Linked DNA regions of Xenopus tropicalis. The protein of the gene in region 1 binds, or shares a complex with, the protein of each later gene. Links are inferred from orthologs where the notes say so. Each region holds a gene or a part of one and is shown on either strand. Other genes may lie near its edges.

Evidence for each region.
Region 2: abi1 (region 1) and wasf2 share a complex: the UniProt entries of both Homo sapiens proteins name them as parts of the WAVE2 complex. The link is inferred for Xenopus tropicalis from reciprocal best matches to the Homo sapiens genes ABI1 and WASF2.

Annotation. Positions count from the first base shown.
Region 1 is NC_030682.2:24,995,496-24,999,322, reverse strand, and holds part of abi1 (abl interactor 1), read right to left. Parts: intron 2,623-3,827; coding exon 2,446-2,622; intron 1-2,445. UniProt on the Homo sapiens protein: May act in negative regulation of cell growth and transformation by interacting with nonreceptor tyrosine kinases ABL1 and/or ABL2. May play a role in regulation of EGF-induced Erk pathway activation. Involved in cytoskeletal reorganization and EGFR signaling.
Region 2 is NC_030678.2:78,043,106-78,046,932, reverse strand, and holds part of wasf2 (wiskott-Aldrich syndrome protein family member 2), read left to right. Parts: intron 1-3,011; 5' UTR 3,012-3,012; coding exon 3,013-3,142; intron 3,143-3,593; coding exon 3,594-3,728; intron 3,729-3,827. UniProt on the Homo sapiens protein: Downstream effector molecule involved in the transmission of signals from tyrosine kinase receptors and small GTPases to the actin cytoskeleton. Promotes formation of actin filaments. Part of the WAVE complex that regulates lamellipodia formation.

The DNA.
Region 1 (3,827 bases):
TTATTTTTTTAATCCCACACATCTTCCTGTAACATCTAGAAGCTGCGTTATTTCCTGTCAGCTGATCACACAAGGTGGCTCAAAGTAAAAGATGCAACTGGGTAATATCAACTTCTAATTATAAAGCAGCTGAATAAATTTGTATGGCTGGACACTTAATAGCATATAAATGATCTAATATGGTTCAGAACTTCTAGTTCTCCTTTAATGCATGGCAATTCTAGTTATCTCAGTAGATCTGCAAATGTCCATTCAAGCCATATTGTCATTTCATCATAAAATCTGCATTCAAAAAACAAAGGAGGCAGACAGGTCTTGTGGTGCGTAAGGCCAGAAACTGCTGTGACCATCCCTTTAAAGGGCGACCAACAAAAAAAATGGTTCCATTTACTTTATACAAATGCCTGGAGATTTAGGCTTTGGGGCTGTAAGCAGGGTGGAACTTGTTGCCGCCATATAAAATAATCAAACACCAGAAGATAATTATATATACACCCCTTGATGGTCTGTCAGACCCACAACAACCATTTTATGTATATGGAGCCATTTTATTTGTATTAATGGACCTTTAAGGGTAAACTTTTATTTATAACATGCAACGTGTAGTACCAACAGACTTAGATGCAGTGATTTACACACCCATTTAAACAGACAATTGTGTGAGCATTTCATAACAGTGCAAAATAACTACTTTATTGAAGGCCAAGGCTACTGTAAGTAGTATAATGCAGCCAGTGTACTGTAATACAATTTGCAGTTGGTCTTTTTAATGTGAATACAATAAGTTTGTTTTACAGTTCTCCAGTGAACACTATGCAATTACTTGTGTCACTGACTGAAGGGGGGAAAACATACATTTTACACACATTTATATATCTTTGAGAAAAAAAAAAGTCAACTGCAAAGTTGCTTAGATTACCTACATCTTCTATATACTAAAAGTAATGTGAGAAAAAAAAACTTCATGAAACTATGCTTAATTAGATCTTTAAATAATGTCATGACTGCTGATGGTGAGTGAGAACTGCAGTTGTTCCGGGTTATTAAGGCTTTAGCAGTTAAGGGTTAAGGGACTGTATATACCTATACACAACTTTACTCAGCATGGCCACAATAAACAGGACTTGTGCTGACAATGCATTCTGGCTATACTTTTCATTAATCTAGTAATTAAAAGTTGTGTTGCATTTTATAGGAGCACTCGCCCCCCAACAGGTGTGCAAATGCATATAAGGACCTTTATATAAACAAACCCCTCCCTTGCCTATGCTGAAGCTTTTGAGATAAGGAGCAGTGTATTATACAGAGGGCTTATCTGTGAACTGTTCTCTTTTTTTTTTATTATTATTTCTACCACCTACTACTTCTCAAACAGTGACAAGGAAAAACAAGGAAGAAACATGAATTGAGACAGGAAGTTGGAAAGTTAAAGTGGTTATAGTTTTTGTTCTAGGCAAAAAATAACAAAAACCATAGATATTCCTTAATTAAAATAATAGGCAAAAGATATGTTCAGCACAAGCCCAATTCATTGAGCTCTAGATGAAATGGAAGGGGGGGAGGGGTTATCCTGGAGCTATAAGTATTGATATACAGTATATTGATATTTCATTCTACATGTAACTGATCAAAACATTAACCAGTGACATCTTGCCGTAGCACACAGCACAGACAAACACTGCAGGAAAAGACAAGATAAGAACTAAACAAAAAACAGCATGAGAAAATATATAAAGTTGTTGCATAAAAGATAATTCATGTTGCTATAAGTAATAAAGAAAAGATAGCTGCCCTGTTCTTCCCAGCTTATTTTCTCTTGCAGCCATAACATGCAAACCAGCTGGTAAATCAATTAAGGCTTAAATTAAATATAAATCCTTGAAATAAATGTATGTAAAATAGCTCAGAGCAATTTTACAATTAGCTGAAAATTAATTTTATGACAAAAAGAAAGTCTTGTAATGTGGATCTGCTTTGAAAATGAAGATAGTGAGCAGAGAAGAGGCATCTGACGCTTCTCTGGTCGCTTCGAACCAGAGCAACGTTACAAGACATTCCTTTTCTAACCAAATTAATTTTCAGCTGACTGTAGCCAGTTGGCCAAAATGACCAGCAGGTGGTGGTGTTGTTTAAAATTCATTATATTAGCAGACAATATTTCATCAAACATAAATTTGGCTTCTTTTCAGGTCATGGACAGCCCCTATAGATAGAGTATATATTGGAATTCTGTGTTTCTTTAATCTTTCCAGTACCCCCTTGCTTTAGAAGTAGGTAGATTACAGGATGTTATCCAAGTACAGTTATTCCTCACTAAGCCAATATGTGAGTGTTTTGCCAACATATTTCTATTCCATATTAACATGGATGAAGCCACCATACATGAGTTGTATACATACATGAGTTGCATACAAGGGCAGCATAGGAAGCAGAGAAGCAGCTTACTTGAGTTTTGAGAATACAGAGGCCCGCCGTTGACATGAGGTTGGCCAGAGAACTGAGAAGTCACAGAAGGAGTCCGTCTGTAGCCACCAGAAGAAGCAGAGGAAGTGGTGGAGTTGTGCCGAGAGATCTGCCTGGTCATTGAGCCAAACTGGGAACCCGGTGCTGAGCCTGTGCCCACTGCAAACAATTTGCCAGCAGCGATAGCATAGAAAGCAAGGAAGCATCAGTAAAGCGGTAAGGAAGAACCAAGCTAAGCACTGACATCACCCAAATCGCATTTAGGCTTTAATGCCAAAACACATACAATAAAATTGCTGTGCCACTAGATAATTTCTATTGATGCTATAATCCTCCCAAATTCTGTCAAAGACCTTGGTGACTGTCCAAGGTTCAGCCTGCATGCCACTGACTGATCTATTTGCTTGTTTGGCTTACATGCAGGGTCTGACTGGGTTGATTCACAACCCAGAAATCTAGTCTAAAACTCAGAATGTTCCATCCTGCCCAATAAAATTAAATTGGGCAGTTGCATTACTTTGGACCTATTAGTGAACAGATGCAAAGACAATTTGTTCAGAAACAACCCACTGACGCAACAAGAGGCATGATCTTAAATAATCAAGGAATGGAAAATTACATATTTGTTTTTTTTCTGGCTAAGGCCAAGAGTAGGCCATTCCGATTAGACCCCACTCATTTCCACAATTCCACCTACGCTTAACCACTACTAACCCCAGTAAAAATGCTGTTTCCTGGGGAGAAATTACATCAATTATTTCAACAATCCATCACCAAATAATGAGTTAGATATTAGCAGTTTAGATGCATGCTGTTTGCTAAGTACCTATTCTTGTACACTTTCCTTTGTGCCATCACACACTGAATGTTCTGGAGTTTATACAACTTACATGTATATAAGGAAAACTTCCTCACTACATTCATTATGAAGGTTTTACCTCCACGTATATCTGATGGCAAGGAAGGTCTGCAAGATTTCTCCTACGGAAAGCCTCTTAAATGAATGCTCCAAACAAGCTGATGGATATTGATTGCTCTGACATGACTGCTTGCTTGCTGCTAATCAGTTAATAAACAAGTAAATGGAAATTAAATGTGATGTTCTATGGATTTTCTTCACTCTGTTGACATGCTGCACTAATGGGGAAAATAATTCCCAGCAATACACACTTTTGATACAGGAACACAACCAGAGAAAGGGGGGGGAAATCAAACACTTGATCTGTTCCAAACAATATTCCAAAAATATTCTGGCAGAAATTATAGGGGAAGGCAATGTGCAAATGAACTTCCAGTATATTTAAATGCAGATTTACTATACCGAGATGTGGCACATGAGCGTGGTACTAGCACCGGCACTGCGC
Region 2 (3,827 bases), on another chromosome or scaffold:
GTGATGACATTATTGGCCTAGAACAGTGCTGTCCAACTGGCGGCCCGCGGGCCGCATGCGGCCCGCGACCCCCCTCTGTGTGGCCCCCCACCTGTCTGGCTGCTTTGATGGCTTACTCTTGTGTAAGCTTTAAATGGTATCAGTACTGTGATTAACTGGCCCCCTGCATGGTTCTCACCTCAGATTCAGGCTGTAATCCCCCTGTATTGTTTAAATATGTAATCCCCTGTGTTGTTCACACCTTTTAGTTTCTGCATTGTTCACCCCCTGCAGTGTTCACACCTCAGGCTCAGACTGTAATCACCCCCATTGTTCCCCTGTTCACACCTCAGGAGCAGTAGAAACCCACAAATAATCCCTGCACACTACAAAAAGAACATATACTGAGGTGGTACTGCAATTAAAAAGTTTTTTAATATATAGTTATTGTGCAGACTGTAGGAGCAGTGCCAGCATTGTGTCACTGTAGGCTGCCTGTGTGTGCCATACACACAGGCATCATATGGCAAGCAGAGTATGGCACACACAGGCAGGGTAGGGAAGGCAGAGTATGGCACACACAGGCAGAGTATGGCACAAACCAACCAAGAATGGCAAACACAGTGAAAGTATGGCACACGCAGGCAAGGTAGGGAAGGCAGAGTATGGCACACACAGGCAGGGTAGGGAAGGCAGAGTATGGCACACACAGGCAGGGTAGGGAAGGCAGAGTATGGCACACACAGGCCAAGTATGGCACAAACCAGCCAAGTATGGCACACAGGCAGGGTAGGGAAGGCAGAGTATGGCACACACAGGCAGGGTAGGGCATGCAGAGTATGGCAGGTTTTTGCTGTACTACAACCATTAATATGGGTATGGTCATGTGATAACATGGGTGTGGTTTCAAGTGGGTGCGGTTTCAAAAAGGGGAGTGGTTTCCATTATCGGCCCTCCACCACGTAGGTCGGAAAAATTCCGGCCCTCGGTACAACAGAAGTTGGACAGCACTGGCCTAGAATATCAAAATCTGCCCAAGTAGGCAAAAATCAATATATCATTATATAGTAAGCATATGTCACCAAGGTGGAGGCAGTTTACATGAAACTTAACCTTATTGTACCATTTTACTGGTTCCTAACTACTTGTTTACTTGGGGTAAAATAGCAATTTAACACTAAATCCCTTACAGAAATGCATTTGCTATTCAGAATTCTAAGCAATTATTATCTGTCACTTGTTTCCTCTTATAATGTATATTCATATCTCTATTTTTCTCTAATGTATACTCTGCTGCATAACAATTAGCTTGATACCAGTTGTTCAAGTTTACCTGTTGCTACAGCCTCCACAATCCCATGAACACCCACTGATGTGAGTTGACTGCTCAGTGTCAATCATCTTCACATACAGTTTCTTTGTATGTTACAAAGAGAAATTGTACAAGTCATAGATGGGGAAATCCTGCCCTACACATTCTGGGTAGTGTTCTGTACAGATGCCCTACGATCAAGAGCTGATAGTTTGGTATCATGTGATGCATGCAGCTCGGTGTGGTGTTAACGCTAAAGAGGAAGTGGAAGCAGTCATTTTGGTAGCTCTGAGGGGGGCTGTCTTTTTTGGTTTGCTTTTTAAGGGAGGGAATGTATTGTTTTCCTCCTTTAGTGCCTATCGGGCTGGTAAGCAGTAATCAAGGTGTGTTTGCTTATACCTGCTATCACTGTCCTCTATATGTGTTACACTAAGTTGTCTCCTTTAGGCTTTCATGGAGTCCCAGCTGTTGGCCTTCCCTATATAAATTCATTTTATATATTCATATGAATACATGGAGGTTTTTAACATACAAATAGTTGTAATTAGAGAGAGGCAAGAATAGTGTCGGTTCATGTGTTGAAGGGGTTACAGCTGCAGTATCTTGCTGCAGGCTCCAAGCTGTAACCAATGAGCTGGGGAGGAGGGGTGTGCCAGCCTCTCACACCTGGCTCTCTTGGCAGTTGTCTGTCCCTAATCCCTTCAGGGCCTGCAGCCTCCTGCCTGCGTGATCAGGCCAGTGCTAGCCTCTGAAGTGGGAGGAAACAAATCCCTGCACACTGAGTCATCCCTTTGACAGTAGCGAGTAGCTGGGACTTAATGTGTGTTTGTGTGTTTCAGTCTGTGTAATTCTGTATCTGCCTGTATCTCTGCACACACACATAACCAGTATAAAATGCATGCATGCAGCACATACTTAGTCAGCCTGCTATCTCCCGTGGCTCTAAGTGCATGCTGGGAATTGCTAATTAAGGATGTCCGGCAGAGGCTCTCCTCCCCCCTCCTCTCTCTCTCTCTCTCTCTCTCTCTCTCTCTCTCTGCCAAAGCATTACATCCTCCTGTCTATCCGCATAGCTATCCAGAACATTCTGCTTCCCTGCAACACCCCCATCCTTCCCTACCTGTGACTTGTACAAGGATTCACAACATGCTCATTATCAGTTTATACAGACTTGGCATCAGTATACAGAGCAGTGCGTGTGCATTATCATTGGGTTTGGGCACTGTGTCATTCTACAGAAGTGCTCAGAAATACAAATCATATTTATAATATAAATATATATATATATATATATATATTGTGCTTATTCTTACTGTGTAGCATTATGCCTTATGCAAAAACATGTATAGCAATGCACTACTTTCCATCACAGAGCAGTGTGATTATTACCAGTATGTGATGCTTATTGTTAGATAGGGTGTGTGGTGTATGTGCTTTTGATTATCTGTGTACCATTCTTGTGCTCTGCTAATGAAGACCATGCTAGGTACATTAATAACAGAGGGTTCCAAGCTTCTCTCTAATGTAAATATTACAGCTGTATAGAACATGTTTCATTGCTCATCCTTTACCCTCCTTTTGCTTTCTGGGATTTCGTGTGCCACCCCAAGCCCCAAAATGTGTTTTTTTTTTTACTGCTACAAAATCCGTTTGTATTACCACTTCATCTGCTTTTCATCCTTATTTTTATTTCCTTGACTTTTCTCTTATGTTCCCTTAGGATGCCGCTGGTCGCTCGATGTATTGAGCCGCGCTTCCTGTGCCGGCAGAAGCTTCCCCCTGTCCGCAGTGAACTGGAATGTATGACCAACCTGACTCTGTCCAATGTCATCCGCCAGCTTGGAAGCCTAAGTGAGTGACACTGGGGAAAGAGGAGGGGGTAAAAGATTGAGGACTTTGTGCAGGAGAAAGTGAAAAGGTTATAGATCTTGGGCAAGAGAATTCTATAGTAAAGAGATAGCAGAAATTGCACCTTTTTATAAATTTATAAGAGATAATGAGAAGATTGGTTACAAAATATTGTGGGGATGGAGATAGGAAAACAGAATAGTAAACATATATCTATCTGAGTTTTTGATGTTAACCTAACTATTACTGTATGCCAGTCGTTTTCCTTTTCTTCCTTTTCATTAATCTTTTCTCTTTATTTTATGGATTATTTCATCCTCTCTATATCTGTATTTTTTTCTTCTGTTCTCTTTCTTCCTCCCACACCTCAATCTCATCTCTGTCCTCCAGTGCATTTTCTCTCCCTTTGCCCTAGTGTCTTTCCACCTACATTATATTCACCCCTCCTTTTCAGGTCGCTATGCAGAAGATATATTTGGAGAGCTTTTCAGCGAGGCTAGTATGTTTGCACACCGCGTGGGATCTCTGGGGGAAAGGGTGGAGAGACTTCAGGTGAAGGTGACCCAACTGGACCCCAAGGAGGAAGAGGGTAAGAAAAAGAATCAGAAATACCTCCATGAAATGTAATGAGCGTCACTTTTGGTGAAGGAATCAGTCGCAACAGTAAGAATGTGGTGCTTCTTGCTGT